2 linked regions of the Oreochromis niloticus genome follow. The protein of the gene in region 2 interacts with the protein of the main gene of each other region in a pairwise test. Links are inferred from orthologs where the notes say so. Each region holds a gene or a part of one and is shown on either strand. Other genes may lie near its edges. The genes, in order: znf276 and gcc1.

Evidence for each region.
Region 1: the proteins of gcc1 (region 2) and znf276 interact in binary tests that used the Homo sapiens proteins (3 or more experiments, as listed by UniProt). The two-hybrid records come from large-scale screens. The link is inferred for Oreochromis niloticus from reciprocal best matches to the Homo sapiens genes GCC1 and ZNF276.

Annotation. Positions count from the first base shown.
Region 1 is NC_031972.2:5,276,958-5,287,285, forward strand, and holds the start of znf276 (zinc finger protein 276), read right to left. Parts: upstream 4,469-10,328; 5' UTR 4,326-4,468; intron 3,610-4,325; exon of another isoform or gene 3,505-3,609; intron 2,369-3,504; 5' UTR 2,325-2,368; coding exon 2,072-2,324; intron 1,801-2,071; coding exon 1,485-1,800; intron 1,389-1,484; coding exon 1,342-1,388; intron 1,258-1,341; coding exon 835-1,257; intron 1-834. UniProt on the Homo sapiens protein: May be involved in transcriptional regulation.
Region 2 is NC_031981.2:23,182,943-23,193,499, forward strand, and holds gcc1 (GRIP and coiled-coil domain-containing protein 1), read right to left. Parts: upstream 5,084-10,557; 5' UTR 4,853-5,083; intron 4,724-4,852; 5' UTR 4,638-4,723; coding exon 4,272-4,637; intron 4,146-4,271; coding exon 3,492-4,145; intron 3,346-3,491; coding exon 2,086-3,345; 3' UTR 1,825-2,085; downstream 1-1,824. Other genes in the region: protein DENND6B, read left to right, coding at 1-80, 154-228, 759-890; ADP-ribosylation factor 4, read left to right, coding at 5,934-6,000, 6,525-6,605, 7,302-7,411, 8,284-8,355, 8,447-8,572, 9,247-9,333. UniProt on the Homo sapiens protein: Probably involved in maintaining Golgi structure.

The sequences.
Region 1 (10,328 bases), on a different chromosome or scaffold from region 2:
ACGCACACCTCTGGCAGAGCTTTAACAGCATTCCAAGGGAGACTGGGAACACTGAGTCCAAATGGACCAATGTCAGCACCTCCATTGCTGAAGCTGCTGCACTCAGCTGCGGCCGAAAGATGGTTGGTGCCTGTCATGGTGGTAACTTCCGAACCAAATGGTGGACACCAGAGGTGAAGGGAGCCACCAGGCTGAAGAAGGAGACACCTATCTCCGGGGGCGAGGTGCTGAGGGAGTTACAAAACTCCTGACCGGGCTGGTGGTTCCCAGTTTTAAGAAGGGGGACGGGAGGTTGTATTCCAACTATAGGGGGGATCCCACTCCTCAGCCTTATGGTGAAGAGAGAGCTGAGTGTAAAAGTGAAGCTCTCAATTTACCGGTCGATCTGCATCCCACCCTCACCTATGGTCACGAGCTGTGGGTAGTGACCGAAAGAATGAGATCACGGATACAAGCAGCAGAAATGAGCTTTCTCTGAAGGGTGGTTGGCCTCTCCCTTAGAGATAGGGTGAGAAGTTCAGCCATCCGGGAGGTGCTCAGAGGAAAGCTGCTGCTCCTCCACATCGAAAGGAGCCAGTTGAGGTGGTTTGGGCATCGAATAAGGATGCCTCCTGGGCGAGTGTGTTCCTGGCATGTAGTCTCCTGTAGTGTGACTGCAGCAGGTGGCTGCCTGTCACTGAGCACAGTGATTTTCTGATTGTTGGGGTTTATCTCTGATCTTGTGCGAGTCTTTTATTGTACAACATAAAACATCTTGAAACAACTGAAGCTGTATAAGAGGGCTGATACACCCGTAGTCTCTGTGTCAGTCTGAACAACTGTAAGCATTCCCACCTTCGTTGTCGCCTGTCCAGTCATCAGGCGCTGAGCTCTGCGTCTGAGCCGTTGCTGCAGGTGGACTGCGCTGAACCACAGTACTAGTACTTCTCGATGAGGTTATTCCGTTCCCGCCGGATTGCTCCTCTTCATCTTCCTCGCCGTCTTGCTCTTGTTCCTCCTCCTCTGACATCACTCCATCACCCCTCCCACTCCCTAATGCTCTATTGCTCGAGCACTGGTTGGAGGTGGTGCTGCGCTGAGTGTCCATAATGTATCTGTGACCATCGACGCAGCCCCAAACAGCCTTTACGGAGCCCAGACACTGGCCCTCCAGCACCTCCTTCAGGTCGGGGCAGGAGCGGCAGGCCTCTCCGTGGTGATGAGCCCAGGACACCAGACTGTGGAGGCACTTTGTGTCTGAGGTAAAGGATGAAGGAGCTGAAGAAAATAGAAGAGCCTGTCAGAACAGTTCAACTTATGTAACTTCAGCAAGATGGAGTGAGGAAGTAATGTTTTACTTACTTGATGAGCAATGGTTTACAGAGGACTCTGGACCCTTTGCATTCTTCCTGAAACAAACACAAACACTTCCACATGTTTTTCTGCAGTAAAAACAATTTATAGTCACCCTCAGGTAGACATATTTGTTTTCTTTATTGACTCACTGATTTTTCAGGTTCTCCTTCCCCACAGGGGGGAGGTTGACTCTCTGCAGAAACCGGATCAGGATGCTTTGGCACTTGTAAAACTTTGCATGGCATTTCTTGCAAATAAATTCCGAAAGCCGAGGGTCACGGTCCACCTGGACCCCGACCAGCCTTTGGAAGTCTGTGTGGAACAAAAGGGGTGACTGGGCCACGGCGTCTGACTCCTCGTCTACGATACTGAGGGAATCCCGAGGCCATTTGTTGAAGGCGTGCCGCAAGCTGCGCGGGGAAAACTTCCCGTGACAAAGCCGGCAGACAGCAGCAGAGAGTCTACCTGTGGGGGCATCATAACTTGATTTCATCTTACAGCGCTCCCATAACACAATTTACTATTGTCCACATTAACAGAGAAATATACCATATACTTGATTTTCCTTGGTTTGTGCCAAACACACAGTATCTACTGATTAAAGGCCCGTAACATTGTTTTTTCTGCACTGGCTTTGCAAAGTTAAGTAGTTTGAGAATCACATGACAAATATCCAACAATAACTTACACTAACATCAACTTCCTGTGTTTAAAACGGGCGTAGTGAGCCACTAACCTGAAGATCTGGACTTAGTCTCTGGATGTTTCTGGGTGTCTTCAGCTGTCATCACATTGAAGTCTGCGTCGGCGTTTTTTTCTGTTGCGCTGTCATTCAGGTAGAAACTGTCTGTGGTTACAGCGGCAGTCTTCCGAGGTCGCCCTTTGTTTCCAGGTGACCTCTTCTCACGGGTGACATCCACTGGCATTGGCGTCCTGCTGAGCTTTTGCGGAGTCTCAGAAGACCTCGTATGTCTGCTTTTCTTCTTCATCGTTTATTGTTATTTTTGTCAGCAGCTGATCTCGTGAAGGCTGCCTGTGTCAGTGTAATAAACAACAAAATATTTAGCATTTCTGAGTTTTTGTTCCATCTAAAGACAACGACAGACACATACCAGGGTTTTTTTGTGCTCACCAAAGAGGTTTTGGCTTTCTACAAAACGCAAAATCACCAGGATTGTGATAGAAATATATTACCCATTTCCTATTTTTAATGAGATTTTATTTACTAAAGCTTAAATAATATTTTGTTTATGGCCAACAACAGGAAAATTCGTATGCTTCTGTGAAGTAAGGTACCACAGACTATTTACTTTAACTACAAATAGATCAGTCCTGCTTATTATGTTGCTCCAAAGTTTCATTTAGAACCAGAACCAGTTGTAAAATGTAAAAACTTATGAAATTACTGTCATCATTTAAACAAGCTGGCAGGAAGCGTGGATCAACGTGTACATACACTCACCAAGCACTTTATTATTATTATTATTATTATTATTGAGTACAACATGTTAGTAGTAAGTTGGACCTCTTTGTCCTTCAGAGTTGCCTTAATTCTTCTTGCTTTAGATTCAACAAGGTGCTGGAAACTTTACTCAGAGATTTTGGTTCATACTGACATGAAACCATCACACAGTTGCTGCAGACTGTTGGCTACATACCCATCATGTGAATCTACCACACACATCCCAAAAGTACTCTGTGACTGTGGATGTAATTTCAGTCCAGTTCAAGAAACTAGTTTGAGATCATTTGAGCTTTGTGACATGGTGCATTATCCCATTGAAAGTAGGCATCAGAAGATGCATACGCTGTGGTCATAAAGAAATGGACATGGTCAGCAGAAATACTCAGGTAGGCTGTGGTATTTCAGTGATATTCAGCTGCTATTAAGGGGCACAAAGTGTGCCAAGAAAATACTCCTACACCTTTACACCATCACCAGCAGCCTGAACTTTTGATACAAAGTAGGACAGAGCCATGATTTTGATGTTTTTTATGTCAAATTCAGACCAGGAAATGTTTTTTCACTCCTCTATTGTCCAGTTCTAGTGAGCCTGTGCAAATTGTAGCCTCATTTTCCTGTTCTTTGCTGACAGGAGTGACAATCAGTGCAGTCTTCTGCTGCTATAGCCCATCTGCTTCAACTTTCAGAGATGCTTTTCTGCATACCTTGGCTATACCGAGTGGGTGTTTGAGTTGTCACTGTCGTCCTATCAGCCTGAAGCACTCTGGCCACTCTCTTCTGACATCTGACATCAATAAGGTGTTTTCACCTGGAGAACTGCTGTTCACTTAATATTTTCACTTTTTTGAACCATTCTCTGTAAACGTTAGCAATGGTTCTGTGGAAAAATCCATCAGTTTCTGAAATACTCAGACCAGCCGATCTGCCGCCAACAGCCATGCCACTGATGCTCAGTTTGAACTTCTGCGTTAGCAGGTCCTCATGCCTACATGCCTAAATGTACTATGTTGCTGCCACGTGATTGGCTGATTAGATATCTGTCAACGACCAGCTATACCTAATGAAGTGGTCGGTGAGTCCATGGGGCAGAACGAGGTTTTTCTCCTTCTTAACAAAACAGCTGTATAATAAATACAATTTTTTAACCTCATTTAATATTATCTGAAACCTTCGTTGTACTTTAAAGAAAATAATCAGTCCATTTGTAAATCTTCTGAGATACATTTAATAGTTTTTTCTCAGAAATCTTTAACATTGATGACACAGGAACTCCATCCATGGATAAAGTTAACAGGATACTAATGCCAATCAAGCCGCAGCACCTTTGATTTAAGCCTCCGATAAAACAAAAACCCTGACAACGGTCCCGGATATTGTTTTTACACTTCAGCATGATTTTGTTTACAGATTAATTCAACTAGCGTTAGCTGGTTAGCATGAGTGAGCCTGCTACATTTGTTAGCTGACGTGTTAAAACACAACACACGTGACGTCATAATTACAGCACTCGTCATGGAGGGCCTACCGTGACTGTGCACAGATCCTAGCACTTGGAAAACATGCTGTTCTTAACGTACAAAGAGGTTTTCATTAGCCTGGAAAACAAACTGTGTGCTTTGTAGCTGCTCCCAGATGTAAACATTAGAACCCGGAAGCGCTACCGGAACAAAACACAGAGGGGTGATACCCAAGAGCGCCACCTGCCGTCCACAGAGAAGAGTCCGGAGAGTCCGAAGAGTAAAAGTATTGGGGTAAAATATAATTAATAAAATTCATGAAATAGTGACTTTTTAAAAATACTTTTATTTGCTCAGGCTTTCTTTAAAAATGAGAATGTGATAATAAAATAATAATAATAATAATAATAATAACAATAATAATATCCACTCATAAGCCATTATTTTGTGCCACTATTCTCAAATCAGGTTGCAGGAAGACGAAGCAAAGAAGCCCAGACCTGTCCCTCAAGGCGATCTTTAGCCTTCAAACTCAGGTCTTCTACCAAACACCTGGGACCTTAAGGGTCCTGTGCAGTATCTTTGCTGTTCCTAGGACTAGGCCAGGGGTCGGCAACCCGCGGCTCCGGAGCCGCATGCGGCTCTTTAGTCCTTATACTGCGGTTCCGCGTGGTTTGGGCAAATAAATTAGAAGTATTTAGCTGAAGTGTATTTTATTTATGTTAGTTCTTTTTAACTCGTAGTTCTAAATTGGAAGATTATTGTGATATTGAAATATAAAAATAAAATTATATTCTATTGTTTTTTCATCGCTCAAAATAAGAGTCACACTCGCGGAAGCCTCCACTGTGGAGGAATTTTGGCCGACTCCTCTTTGCATAATTATTTTTAATGGGGGGGGGGGGGTTCAAGCATGAACACCACTCACTTCCTGTTTAAGGTCTCTCTAAGTAAGACGATGACATCAAAAAAATGTGAAATAGAGTGGTCTTCATCCTGAAATATACACTGTCTTTATATAATAAAGACAGTGTCGGGGCCCAACAGGACGGCAGTGACTCTGTGATAGACATTAACTCAGCTTTAGAGCTGGCAATGCCCAGGCCGTCTGCAATCACATATTTTAAAATGGCAAGAAGGTCTCATCCTGATAGTCTATTTTATATAATTGTGTTATTTCCAGAGGTGGGAATTAACAAAACACAAATACTTTGTACTTAAGTACAATTTTCAGATATCGGTTCTTTACTTGAGTAGTTTTTTTCTGACTACTTTTTACTTTTACTCCCTGCATTTTTAAACAAATATCTGTACTTTCTACTGCTTACATTTTCAAAACAGGCACGTTACGTTTGATTTAACGCATTTGGGGGGAGATATTATTTCTTCACTGTTAGCCTCCAAACTTTAAACCGATTTGACCCTGAACAGAAACACATAAAAGGTGGTCCTGTTCATTTATTAATCACCAGAGGATGTGGCATAAAAAGAGTTGACGTGTGTACCAAACTCAGGGGTTAAAAGTGGGAAGGCGTTTTTTGTTGTTGTTGTTGTTGTTTTTTGCCACAACACCTACTCCTACTGAAAAGGAGTGAGTAAAAATAAAGAGAGTGACGTTTTTTAAGTGACAGGTCATTTCAAATGAACGTTTCTGTCAGCGTCAGCAAACACACAAACTGGTTGTGTGCAGTTTGTCTCACAGTGTGTGGCTAGCTAAAGGTCCAGCTGCTGTATTTCACAGAGAGAGAAAAAAGAGCTAAAGTCACTCAGAGATGGAGAAAGATAAGAAAAATAGGACGGGAGAGAAAGAAGAGAGCTTAGATTTAAAGGTAAGGACTGCTCAGTGGGGTCTGACAAACTGGTAATTTAAAGTCCTTATGTTTTTAAATCAGATATTGGCTCTGTAGGCAACAGAAAATAAAGATTTGTTTATTTATTTTTTTAATTTTCCTTCTTTTCCTTCTGACTTAAGCTGAGTATAAGTAGAATTAAAAATAGCTTAAAGTTTGTATTCCCATCTACTGATATTATTTTATCATTATATTAATATAGCACAAAGTTCAGTTCAATCCTCCAAAGAGCAACTTTTTACTTTCTTACTTATGGTACATTTCAGAGCCTGTACTTTTTTGCTTTTACTTGAGTAAAGAAGTTGAATCAGTACTTCAACTTTTACTGAAGCATTTTTAACAGCAGCATTTGTACTTCTACTTAAGTACAGAATGTCTGCACTTTTGCCAACTCTGGTTATTTCTCGTCATTGGCTCACTGTTAAATCCAGAATCAAATTTAAAGTCTTTCTCACATATAAGCTTGAATTATCAGCTCATCTTATCTCACAGACCTCAGAGGACCTTATCACTCCAGCAGAACACTTTTGGTCTCAGACTGCGGGGTTAGTTGTGGTCCCGTGGGTTTTTAACACTTTTAGCTTTTTCTTCAGCTTTCAGCCCCCCTCTTCTGTGGAAGCAGCTCCCAATTTGGATTCAGGAGACAGACACTACCTCTACTTTTAAGATTAAGCTTAAAAGTTTCCTTTTTGCCAAAACATATAGTTAGGGCTGGATCAGGTGACCCTGAATCCTTCCTTAGTTGTGCTGCAATAGGTGTAGGCTGCTGGGGGATTCCCATGATGCACTGAGTGTTTATACACCACTCTGCATTTAATTATTTGTTAATACTTATCTATGACTTTCTCTTTTCAAATTATATTCTCAAAACCTCTGACTCATCAGACAAAACCTCATGATTGCATCGGAACAGTTTTATCAGCAATAAAAACCACACAGTGTCTTCAGCTCACATACACAACCAGTCAAGATAATAACTCTGCTGAGCATCCGTTTCACACCGCAGCAAGTGATGTAGCAAAACACGAGTATAGTGTAAAGATTCAAGATTATGGTAGCATTATACTTCCCTCATTTACAGGTGATACGTGCTGTATAAAGCTCCAGACTTAAACATTCTCTCATCCTCCTTGGTTTTGAGACGCATAAGTCAAGGAAACGTTATAGTAAACGATGAATTACGTAGATTACTTTTATAAGTAAAATTAATATCTTCTGCTTTCTTTCATTTGGGTTGCTGCATATGCAAAAACAGTTTTATCACAGAGAATCAAATTTCATCATATTTATTAGAAGTGATTTATTGTGGTAGAGCTCACTCCTCCTCATCTTCCTCCTCTCTGATTGTTTCCTCCCATTCTTGGTATCAAACCTTCAGCTCACTGGAACTCACCGGTCGCTTTATTAGCAATCAGTGTGAAAAAGTTTGAGTTGTCACGTTCACGAAATGACAACAGAGCTGTAGTCGTGTTGTGTTTCCTGTTGTTACCATTGAGTGAGAATTTGTTTAGAGCTTTTTGAAAAGAATTTAAATAAGATGTAAAAATTGGGTCTAACTAGAAGACAACAATTTAAGGTTTTGCCAAAAGAGCGATTGATTCCGGGAATTAGTTTCACACACACACACACACACACACACACACACACACACACAAAAACCCCGCTGAACACACAGGATGAGAAAACATGTGAAGCTGCCCTCTTTCATAAGCAAACTGTAGTATGAGACATAGACCTTGTGTATATGTAAATATATCTCTGAAGGTCCTCTGTTGCCACCGCAGTCTAGAATCTTTAGTGTATATTGATGTTTCTATACATTCCTTTCTGATTTTCCAGCACATTTTTGGAGATGACGACACGGCACGTGAAGCTGGAAAGGCTTGAGTTACGTGTCCCGACTCTGATTTTTTAACCAATGCTGAGCTCTGGTATTATCCTGATGCTTTATGAGTGCAATCTGATAACATGCGGTTCTGAGCACTGATAAAATTGTTTTGATGTGATTGTGCGGTGTAGCCATGAGACTCAGAGGTGAATGTAGTTTGTGTTCAAAGTGTAGAAGAATTAATATTTAGTTGAAGTTTTGCCTTGTTTAGTTGCTTGGTTGCTAACTGGCCATCTTATTTGGTCACATTATAAGAAGTGGGTAGCTTTTGAGAAAATAAATAGGCCTTAGCAAGTGTGAAAAACTGTAATAGACTTGAGGAAATAAGAATGAAGTCACCTAAAAGTGATCTTGTACCTCACTGAAATACAATGGGTGTTTTTGGGGGTTTTTTTTAACATAGAATATGTTTTTTCATATGTTTTTATCTTTTTACATGTGTTTAGATTGCATAATGTGTTAGGCTGTTTTGCACCAGGCACACACACACACACACACACACACACACACACACACACACACACACACACACACACACACACACACACACACACAAATAAAACTAAATAAAAAACTAAATCAAGGTGACAGAATGATCATGAAGAAAGGGTTGCAGATGCATGCACGGAAGTGATTTAAATAGGTTTCTCCTTTACACCACTGAACACAGATAAGATCTTGTGTACACGAAGCTACTTCCATTACTTCACTTCACCACACACACATTTTCATTAAAATGGGGGAATGACTCATGTCAAACATGTTTTTGTGGTTTTGTTTGTGCATTTATAATGCAATAGTCATTATACAGTCTAAAGCACCTCTTTATCTTATCTTTATCTTTGAAGACAGGCTTTTACAGTAATATAAAGAATAAACAACACATACAGTCAAAACTATTCCTTTAGCGAACAGTCAAACTGACTAGAATGTGAATTATCCAAAAGTGAGGAACACTACTGAAGACTACACATGAGGCTGAAATGAAATGAAAATATTCAGTTGTGGAAATCAGCAAAAATGTATGACAGACTATGTACAGATCTATAAACAGTGTAAAATGTATGTAAACAGATATACATATGCTTTTTTGTGAGTTGTTGCGTTCCTACAGACACATACATATACTGATACTGATAAGCACTCACTGACGCATCACCCTCCCTACCAAACGCCACCTCCAACGCTTACCTCCCCTCTGATGTGGACATCGGGTCAGTTGGAGGCGCAGTCGAAGATTGCAGTGGTCCCAGATCAGATGTACACACTGGAACACTTTCCCATGTTGCTTGTCTGTGTTTATTGTGTTATGGTGTGTTGATATCTGTGCATTCCTGTATTATCCTTTTGTGTTACATATTTCGATGTTTTTTTCCTCGCTACCTGGCCTGACCTGTCTCCCCAATGTGATGTTTGTATTGTATGTGCGGTCGGCAAGGTCTGTCATCTCGGTTGTGGGCAAAAGACTTGCAACTGACAAATAAAGGCTATCTCATCTCATCATCTATAGGCTGAGTCTATAGGAACCCAGTCCCATGACTGCTGTGTCATCTGCAAACTTGATGATGGAGTTTTTCACGTGGACAGTGTCGTGGTTGAAGAGAGCATGCAGGAGAGGGAGCAGCACACATCCATGGGGAATGCCAAGGTTCAGGGTGACAGTGTGTGTTTTGCAAACCTGACATGCCCCCTGCATTTCATGTGGACTAGAGTCATCCTTTCACTACCACCAAAGTGAGTGAAACTGGCCTGTGGTAATTTAGACTACTCACATGTTTCTGCTCAGATATGAGCTCAGTTGTTTTGGCTTTGAGGCAGGTGGGGATGATCGCTTCGGTCAGGCTGAGGTTGAAGATTTCCCTGAATACCTCAGCTAGCTGGTCTGCACATGCCTCAAGTATGTCAGGCCCTGATGCTTTCCGGGTTCTGACTCCACGCAGTGCACTCCTCACCTTCTTTCTGTTCGGTCTCAGCTCCAGGTGATCCAGCTCCAATCGAGCCGTGTGTCTAGTGCCAGTGTTAAAATGAGCAAAGAACATGGTTAAGGTCCTCGACCTGCTAGGGAGTGTAATTTGGTGTTGCAGTGTTGCATTATTTTTATCTGTATGAACATCCAAGTATCTGCTTCCCCAAATCATCACTAACACATGGTCACACTGGTCAGAAACGCATACACGAGTAGCTCACTGTAGCAGCGTTCCTGTTGTTTCTTCCTCTTACAAGAAGGGTTATGTCTCTTGGCTTGATGCCCTTCTACAGCTGCGTCTGGCTCTCCTTGTTTGAAGGATACATGGTGGGAGACACAGTAAACATTCCAGTGGACTACCTCTGCA
Region 2 (10,557 bases):
TTGACGGCTGGTACCGCCACCGCCACCGAGAGATGACACAGAAGCTCGAGAGTCTCCACCTGGAGGTCATCTGCGATGCGGTAAATTATCTGAGCGAAATTGCTGGACCATCAGCCAGCTGTGCAGCCCCTAATCCAGGTGTGTCCTCTGCAGGACCTGCTGGGATGGACCAAAGACAAGTCTGAGGTGGAGATTGTGGATCTGATTCTGAAGCTCAGAGAGAAGCTGGTGAGTTCCAACAGGAAGTTTGTTAGCGAGGAAAAAAGTTTCAGGTAAAAGGGTGTTACAGGTAAAAAGCTTAGGATAAAAATTCATTTGAAGAAGTAAAACTTACAACTGCAGGTGAAAAAGATTTTAGTTACCTGAGAGTTAAATCAAAAGTGAGATAGTTTGATAGTTTGAAGCTGGACATGACAATGCGTTCACTGACCATGGACGCTGAGGCGTTCACTAACGCTGGGACGTCTGCCTGTAATAAAAGTTCATGTTTGGGGTAAAATCCATCATATTTGTGATGGAGATGATGCTGTCCTGGGCTGCAGAGGAGATTGGGGAAAAATATTTTCTGGTTTCTTGTTTTAAAGATTAGAGATGAAACTTTGTTGTGAAAATGAAGCTATGATAATAATTCAGGATCATAATCCGGGTTTAATCCAAAGTGAGGTGGTGTTCTGCAACTAGGATCGTTTGCTTCTTCTTTGTTGGTTTCATGTCAAAAGTCTAGTTTTTGAGGACAGGAAGTGTGTGTGGCTTTTCAGATTAAAGCTCGGCGTCAGCAGCTGCAGCTCAGAGACGGTGTGATGGACAAACTCGACTCTTTCATCACCTCCATCATCAGCTCGCTGCCTGCTGACCTGCAGAGTGTGCTTGGCACAGGCGCGTCACCATGACGACAGCTAACCCCAACATCCAGGACTCACGCTTGTGTTCATCAGCATCTTCACACTCCGCAGAAAAACCAACATCGGCTCAAATCTTCAGTTTTTGGAATATTTAACTTTATTTAAACTTTATTACCTGTCCCCATCAAGCTGCTGCTCTGATGTTTTCCTTTCTCTGACGGTGGAATCAGGCTGTTTGCGTTTCACAGAAGTGGTATTTTTCTATCATCTCCACAAACTGAATGTAACACTAAGAATGAAGCTCCACTTTGTTTGTTTGTAAACCTTTATTTTGAAATTAAAGTCTGATCACTTCCTGTCCTTGTTTTATTCTAATCTCCTCGAGGATTCCGACTGAACGGAAAGGCTTTAAGTTCCTCTCATGTCATGGTGAAATGTAATTTCTTGTGGTCTGATGACGTCATCATAAACCTTTGCTCTTCATACTGCTGCTCTTTCATGCTTCAGACTTGCTTCAGTTTCAGACCTCGAGAAGGAAACCTCTGATTCTTTGTTTCTCTTTCCTTATTTATTTTATATAAAAATAATTAAGGCTCCACATCTGAACGTCTGAGTGAAGATCAGTGCAAACACATTTATGAACATTTCTGACTTTGTTCTGTGCACCTGAATGCAGCGTTTGCAGATGTGGACAGATGTTAGAGAAGCTCAGTGGTGAAGTATTTGATCAGTGTGACGTGTGTATGTCTGTCAGAACTGTGAAATAAAACAAAGCTTCAGGCTTCAAAAACACCTGGCTCACCTGTAATCTGACATGGGTGTCTTCACTGTTCCTCACAAAGCCAGCCAATCGGAGGCTAGTAAAAGCAGGAACTGCAGCTTTAGACAGGTGATCTCACCTGAAGAGGCTGGACCAGGCAAAGCAAATCGTATTTAGAGTTGTGTCATCATCAAGGCACTTCACTGACGCTCGGACACAGACTGAAGCAGGAAAAATATTTTAATCTGAATCAAAAATATACATCAGCTGATTGACCAGCGAAGGTCACATGTTAACGTGTTTGTAGTGTTTGAAGTCACATGACGCTCAGAGAGCAGCAAACCGTCAGAGAAACACCAGGAAGATGAAAAACACAGATGCCCTCAAGCGCAGCACGAAGCCACGCCTTCACTGGCTCAGATGCCCAGGTGTTCTTCCTGCACCTTCCTTCTTGCTGCAGAAGTGTTTTCTTCCTCAGGTACTCTACCTGCGTCCCATCCACCAGGTGCTGCCCTGCAGCCTCATGACATCATGCTTCTCCTGCGGGCTGAAGTGCAGGATGGTGAGAATGGCAGTGAGTGTCTGCTGGCGCCCGTTGGCGTCATGCAACGTCAGAAACCGGTACACAACATTCTTCAGGTACTCCATGTTGGCGCCCTCGCGGCTCTGGTCCCGGATCAGTTTTTCGAGGCGGTCACGCAGGGCTGCCACCTCCTCATCATGATGCTCTGCGTTTGCAATGAGTCGTTCCTGCAGCTGGCGCGTGTCCTCCTCCAGTCGGTTCTTCTGCCGCCGCAGCGCGCCCACCTCCACCTCCTTACGTGCGAGCTGCTCAGCGTACAGCAGCAGTGTTGACTCATTGGGTGTGGCCTGCCGCAGCGCCTGGCTGATCGCGTCGGTCTCTGTGTCGGGGCCATTCTCTTGAGGGTTGGTGGGTGTGTTGTCAACACGGTTGGACCAGCTGAGTGTGGCGGCAGCAGCCCGCAGCCTCTCCAGCTCGCGGTCCTTCTCATCCAGCAACGCCATGGTGCGCTCACGCTGCTTGTGAAGCTCTGCCTCCAGTCGCAACAGTTCGTCACGGTGGAGTGCCTCCAGACGCTCCGCCTCCTGCCGGTGTGCCTGCTGCAGCGACACTGCCTGCTGCTGGCGCTCATCAAGCTGCTGGCGGTGGTGGGCCTCGGCCTCGTCACTCTGCACACGCAGGTTTATGTACTTCTCACGCAGCTCGGCGAGCTGGTCGCGGACTTCCTCCAGTTCCCGCGCCTGGCAGCCATCTTTGGTGTTCTTGTTCTTCAGAACCACCTGCGCACGCACCTTGTAGCGCTCAAACTCATCCCTCAGCTGCCGCAGCTCCTGCTGATAAGCGAGGGCTGCCGCCGCCGCATCTGAACCCGGCTCCACCTCCAAGTCCTGGATGTTCTGGTCGGGGTTCCTCTGAGCCGCAAGGAGCAGCAGCTTCTTCACCTTCTGCAGCTTCTCCCGCAGCGCCCCCACGTCCAGTTGCTCATCTGGCCCGAGGTCAGAGGTCGCCCGGCTGGAGGCAGCGATGGCGAGTGTTTTGTTCTCCGTGTCGAGCTGCAGCACGCGATCACGGAGCCTCTGTGCTGCCTGCTGGTCACGCTGCCTTGCCTTCTCACACGAGCCCAGCAGCTCTGACAGCTCCGATACACGCTGCTCCAGGACCGCCACCCGGGCCTCAGCCAACTGAGCACGCTCATGAGCACGCTCTTCTGCATCGCAAACCTGCAACACGAACACAGAGATGACCTCACTTCCTGTTCTAGTTTACCTGGTCTGTTAGAGCTTCAGCTGTTTAATGTGGTTAAACCAGATTCCCTAGGACCTGTTTTATTGGGACTTTGTTTAGTGGGACCTGGTTCTGGGCTCACCTTGCGGGTCTCAAGCTGGACCTGCTCCTGGACCTGGTTCTTCAGCTTGTTCAATTCTTGCTGCAGCTCGTCCACTCTGGGGTCGGGTATTCGTTGCTCCTCCTCGGCGGCCTGCAGCCTCCGCCTCAGCTCGTCTCTCTCTTCCTTGACTTGGTTCAGGAGAGCCTCGGACTCCGCCCCCCGGTCCACGGCCTGTGAAGTCACAAGCAGGGCGGTGCTGGCATCCTGGAGGTGGAGCTCGGCGTCCTGGCGGAGGTCTCGCTCGGCCTGGAGGAGCCTCTGTAGCTCGCGGAGCTGCTGAGCGTGGTCCCCCTGCTCCTGCTCGCGCTCGTGCTGCTGCGTAATGATGCGAGCGCGACTTTCAGCGAGCTGCTGCTGCAGGTTGTGCAGTTCTGCCTCGTGCTGTGTTGTCATGGAGACCAGACGTTCCTGCAGCTCTTCAACTTCCTGTTTCAGCTGCCGCTTGTCTGCCTGGAAGCTCGCCTCCATTCGCGACTTCTCCTGCGTCACCGTGGCCAGCGAGCTTGTGAGCGTGCTCAGTTGGCTCTTCAACTGGGCGACTCTACGGTCTGCCTCCATGCCGGGAGGGGGCGTAGCCTGCTGCTGTTCTGTCCCCACGCTGCCACTCTCAGAGCTGCCATCGGGTTCAGATCCCTGCAGAACAAACATGGAGTCAGAGAATAAGACATGACATTATCAGAGCGTTATGGTGATGATGATGATGTCATCAAGTTCTGACTGTGTTCTGGTGATTTAAGTTCAGTTGTCAAAGTAACGTACCACCAGCCTTCCTCCCAGTTCTGCCTGGTCCTCCTCACTCTGGTCGCCTCTTGTAGTCTCGCTGGCCATGTCCAGAGACGCCGCCATATCCACGCTGTCCTCGCTGTGCAGCGAGCAGCCATCCTCGGTGAGCTCCGGTGTGGCGGTGGCCGAACCCTTCTGGGTCAGGTCCAGGTCCTGGGTCACGCTTAGGACCTTAAGGCTGGCCTCCAGCGCCTCTTTCTCCTTCAGGAGGCTCTTGTAGGCCCGGACCACATCCCTAAAGCGGGTCTGGTACTGGATCAGCTGCTTCTTCTGGGACTCCACCGTGTCCAGCAGCTCCTTCCTGCTCGGACCGCCACCAAAGCTCATCCCGAACTTCTCCATGACCTCGTCCAGGTCTGACCAGGTCTGTCCAGGTGAGCCTCTGATCACAGACACCAGAACATGAACAGAACCTTAGCATTGACTTCCTGTTAGAGGGGAAACAGAGAACAGCTGTTCAGATCACTCATCGATCAATTATCGATGGATGGTTTCTGTGAAGCTGAAACTTTGTGCTGGAACACAAAAGAAGAAGGAGGAGTAAAACAGTTTCTCACCTCTTTCTCTTTCTCAGTGTTTGTTTCTCCCTTTGACTGATTTTTCCGCCGCTTTGATCGTCTCTCCTCACACTGCGCCGACAAACCGGTTCGATGTGGATCACAAACTCGCAACCTGTCCGTCACAGGTGGTCAATAATCGACCCAATCGATGAGTGAAATCCGACTCAAAGCTTCATCTGTCAACAGGCGCCATGTTGGACCGAACCGGAAGTGACTGAGACGGAGGAGGCGGGAGTTTACTACTTTGTTCACGGACGTCAGGAAAATGCACAATAGGATGATTTTTTTTTTTTTTAGCTGATTTAAATTAAAAACTCACTGATTTAAATTAAATAAACAGCCAAACACAGCCAATAAAGCATATGTATATATATATATATATTATTATTAATATGTTTAACATTTCTGAAAGCAATACAGTATTTTGAATTGATTGTTTATTGGGAGAAAAACATTTTTTTCTTATTTTGTACAAATTTTAGAAATAAACTATTAGATTAAAAAATAATTTTATTAGAAATTAATTTTAACTTTGTTGGTTGATGATTGATTGAAAATATTTTCATGATTCCGTTCATTAAATTCTGTTCTTCCGTTCTTCAATAGAAAACGCTTTATTATTCTACACACATATATGTTTTTAGCACTGTCACAGAAGCAGTACGTGTGTATTTCACTTTGTTATGTTCTGTTGTATAATGACGTGAACATAGTGACATATATACATATAAATTAAACGTATTAATATAAATGGCTGTCCCGGAGCCGAGAGTGTTCCTCGCAGCCCATGAACTTCACTTCATGCGCAGAGCTCGAATGTACGGTGTTTGAGCGGACAGTGAACGCCGCGGTGTTTGCTATGCTGTTAATAAAGTTGTTGTTTTTTTTAAAGCGCAGCAGTGACGTCATTTGTTCCGCGTTGGCCTGGACGTGGCACCGAGAGGAGCTGCGCCCTCAGTTCGCTCTGCTCCGCTCCGCTCCGCTCCGCGCCTTCTCGGCTCCATTCCGCTGCTGCTCCCGGACCTCCGGCTCTACCCGCCGTCAGTGTGTGACCTGCCACCGCCTCCTCTCCGCAGCCATGGGCCTCACAATCTCGTCGCTGTTCTCCAGACTGTTCGGGAAGAAACAGATGAGGATCCTGATGGGTAAGCGGGGGCTAGGCTAACGAGCTAACGGGCTAACCGGCCGGGCTCCGGGGCGGCTGCAAGCGGCTCCGCGGGCTCACCAGCACCACACACCGTCTCATTTTACCAGGAACCCGCTCACCGAGTCCTGCGGACCGCGGGCCCGATCTTCCCGTGCAGGGAGAGGCAAAAGTCCGGCTCGGAGAAGCAAGAGGCTGTTAGCTCGGAGCTAACGGAAGGAAGCAGGCTGATAACAGTCCGTTAAACCGAGTTAAATTGGGGTCTAAACGGGGGTTAAACTGGGTTAAGATGTTTTAATCTGGGGTTAAACCTAAAACTGTACCGGTGTCATCTTATTAAGTCCATAAAAACCATTAAACCCGGTTTGATCTGAGCTTTAAACCAGCAGCTGGACTCTGATCTAGGTTTAAGTAATCTCAGATTAGTCTTTATTCACTGTATGAGGTTTAAGTAATCTCGGGTTAAACTTGAACCACTGTGAGACATTTAATTAATCTGGGATTAATCTTTGATGTGTGTTTCAGTCGGTTTGGACGCTGCTGGAAAAACTACGATCCTGTACAAACTGAAGCTCGGAGAGATCGTCACCACCATCCCCACCATCGGTACGTCATCAGGACTCAGGGACCAAATGAGGTCATGTGATCAATAATCAGCCGACTGTGTAGTCAGGTGGTTTGAACGTGGTATTGATCAGATCTGATCGGTTTGAGTGAGGATTCCCCAGGCGTGCTGGCACTTGCACTATTTTCTTTAAACTTCTCCTGCGTCTGCGTCTACAGGTCAAGTGACCTTTTAGAATAAGAGTCACCTGTTAGTTTGAATAAATAAGGTACCAAAACAAGAAACATAAATGATGAAAGTGCAGACACACACTTACAATGGTGAAAACAAACGTTTAAAGCAGGTAAATACAAGCTAAACTTATACACACCACCAGCGTTTACACAGCTATAGATATGGAACCATTAAAACTACAATCATGGAGAAATGAAACATCAACGTTTATAGTCAAGTCATCCTCAGTCTTATAGTTTCAGTTTACACAGGTGTCTCCTCTGTGCAGGTATTTCAGTGCTACTGCTTCACTCTAACTTTATATACTGTTACAGTCACTGTTGTACTGTGATATTTATTGTTGGTTCCCAGCGGGCTGATGGGATGTGTAGTTTCCTGTCAGTGATTCTGTTTCCTGTGACTTGGAATGTTTGAAGGTCATTAAAAGCTGTTTTTTTTTTTTTTTTTTAAATTTGACAAAGAGTCACCTGTTCACAACTCTGTGTGTGTGGTTGTGTGTTCAGGCTTTAACGTGGAGACAGTCGAGTACAAGAACATCTGCTTCACAGTTTGGGATGTTGGCGGTCAGGACAAGATCCGACCTCTGTGGAGACACTACTTCCAGAACACACAGGTACAGAAGCAGAACTCTCAGGTGCAGGCAGGTGTGGGACTTTTCTCTCTCTGAGGAACGAGATGTTCAGGTTGATCTGGTTCAGTTATGTTTACCTGGGCATTCATGAGAAGTTTTCTTCTGTGACCCCTCACTGATCTGATCTGTCCTGAGATATTCATCTATAGTAAAATCCTCATTTATATCCTCTATCTGATCATATCTTTATATCCATAAAGCTCTTCTTTAGCAATAAGTAACATAGAATAGAGTAGAATAGAATAGCATAATTTATCAGAACAGTTAGTGCATATTTGAATGAAGTTTCAGTGGATTTGCTGTCCATTGAAATAATTCTATATAAAACAATCTAAAAGTATAAAATACATAGAAGAATGTCAAACGTGTGTACAAATAGAAGTGACATTTATGTGTATATGCATGCTAGTAAAAGAAATGTTTTATTGAACAGTAATAAAGCAGCAAAACAACCCAGTGTACAACATCATCCTCATTCCAGATGTTCCGGCTTAAATATATAATCAGTAAAAAGTCTGGGAACTGCTTCAGAAACGTTTTGAAGCATAAATATTTTTTTTTAATCGAACTTTCAGTAAGAAAAGCAACTGAACTTAAATAAACAATTTCTTCAGTGCTGTGAGAACGTCAGGTTTGTGTTTCCACAGCTTTACAGAGGTGCTGCAGGAAAATCAACAAAGTCAAACATGAGTCCTAACACGGCTGCATTCCCCCTCAGAAACACCTGAGGAGCTTATTTTAGATCCCTGACTCTGCAGCACAACACACACAGCACAGACTTTCACTGTGGGCAGGATCCATTAATCACTGTATTGATGTATTAATTGTATCGATGACTGATGTATTGATCACAGGGTCTGATCTTCGTGGTGGACAGTAATGACAGGGAGCGAGTCGCCGAGTCGGCGGAGGAGCTCTCTAAGATGGTCGGTCCCTTTGATCACTTTACAGTTACGCATCATTAGACTCATGATCGTCATGGTAACCACTGACTGTATGTCACATGACTCTGTGCAGGTCCAGGAGGACGAGCTGAAGGACGCGGTACTTCTAGTGTTCGCCAACAAACAGGATCTCCCGAACGCCATGGGTGTCAGCGAGCTCACCGACAAGCTGGGTCTGCACAGCCTGCGCAGCAGAACCGTAAGGATCAATAACCCATCCGCACTGATCAGTACTACAGACTGAGTTCTGTTTCTCATGTTTCCCTCCATGGTTTATTGACTGATGATCTAAGTTCTCAGCTGTTTTTCTTGCTCAGTTCTGTAATTGTGAAATCAATAATCAGTCAATCAGTATACAAAACAGGAGACAGTGGGGTGACCTCAAATGAGCCCACAGCATTGGTCTGGGGGTGGAGCTCTGAGCACATCAGCCAACCCAATATCGCGACAAAGCTTCATGTTGAAGCTGCAGTAATCTGCACTACCAGCAGGAGGAAATGATATATTTAAAGCCAAGATGTGGGTAGTGAGCAAAATAATTCCATTAATCATCAGAATCGATTAAGTTGGGTGGCTGATATGGATGTACATGTAAAAGTGTTAATAATGTCTTTGTAATCGCGAGTATTTTCATGTTGGCTTGAAATAAAATATCTCCCTCTGCTGGTAATCTGTGATGTCAGTGCCAGTGGGTGGAACCCTTGGGTTTTAATTTTATAGTTGCATCCTAATTGGTTGTTAGAAAATCCACTCAGGGGTCTTGATGTCACTGTCCACAAACTTATGGAGCTAAATCTGTTTAGACAGTTAAACTCACTTGTGTGTGCTCCCTGTACCTGCCCACTCACCTGTGATGATCTGTGTGTGTTTCAGTGGCACGTGCAGGCCACCTGTGCGACGCAGGGCACAGGTCTGTACGAGGGACTGGACTGGCTGTCCAATGAGCTCTCGAAGCGTTAAACCACCTGACAGGAAGTAGAAAGCAGACTGATTTCAGCCGCTGATGTCACCGTGTACAGATGAGGAAGAGGAGGAGGAGGAGCGTGTCATCGCTCCATGTTTCTTTCTTTTTTTTCTCTTTTTTTTTTTTTTTTTTTTTTTTTAAATTATACCTGTGTGTCTGTAGGAGGAAGTGATGTCATGGACTCTGAGCTCACCTTCATTTCCCATCATCCTCTTCTTCTGTTTTTCAGGTGTTTGTTAGATCTTCTTTCTTTTAAGCCGCATGTTTTAACTCAGATTCATGTGACAGGAGGAGGGGCGGGGCTTACGGCAGGTGACGGTCACCTGGGCGTTGGGGGCGGGAATTATGGCAGGTGATGGTCACCTGGTCGTGCGAAGACTCATTCCATAGAGCCAAGTATGGCAGCCTCGTCATTCCTTATCAAAGTGAAGAAGAAACTGAGACCATGATGCAATAAAGGTTTTTTTTTTCTTCTCACCTGTGTGTTCTGCTTTCTGTTTGAGAAACTTTATTCAGCGTTAACTGTGCGATGAGATGTTTGCATAGGCCTGAAGATCTCCTGCTGACCTCTGACCCACCAATCAGATATTGGATTTAACTTTATGGGCTACTGGACAGATTTACTAAGTGGCGCAAATGATTTGGACTTTGCGTTTCCAGGATGTTCTGTTTATATTTATTTATCATTTAAATATGAAGATGCAGCCGCTTCACTTAAGTAAAAAAAAAAAAAAAATCAGCTGCGAGTGGAACGGCTCAAAGACCGAGAGGAGGGAGTGCCGCAGGCCTGCAAACCAAAATAATCCAGTGTGAGCTCTTGAGCATTAAGTGTGCTGCTAGAGACGTGAAGGAATCTGACCGTTCATGAAGGACGTTTGTCACAGCCTGTTGTCATTTATGTGACCGCCATAAAACAACAGAACACAGCAAAGTAAGCTAGGTGTTTTGTAGTCCATCGGACATCTGGCGTCACACCATTAACCTCCTAGGACCTGGCGTCCACATATGTGGACATCACATTTTGGGTTGTCTAGACCAAAATACTAAATTTTGCTCTACGAGGGCCTGATATCCACTTACGAGGACATTATACTCAGGGATGCACATAAGTGGTCCGCAGGTGCGCATTCGCTGTCAAAAGACGCACACCAGATAAGTTGCAACGCGCGTTTGTGTAAATATAAAAGGCACTGTTTTTGTCCTCTAGAGTGGGATTTTCG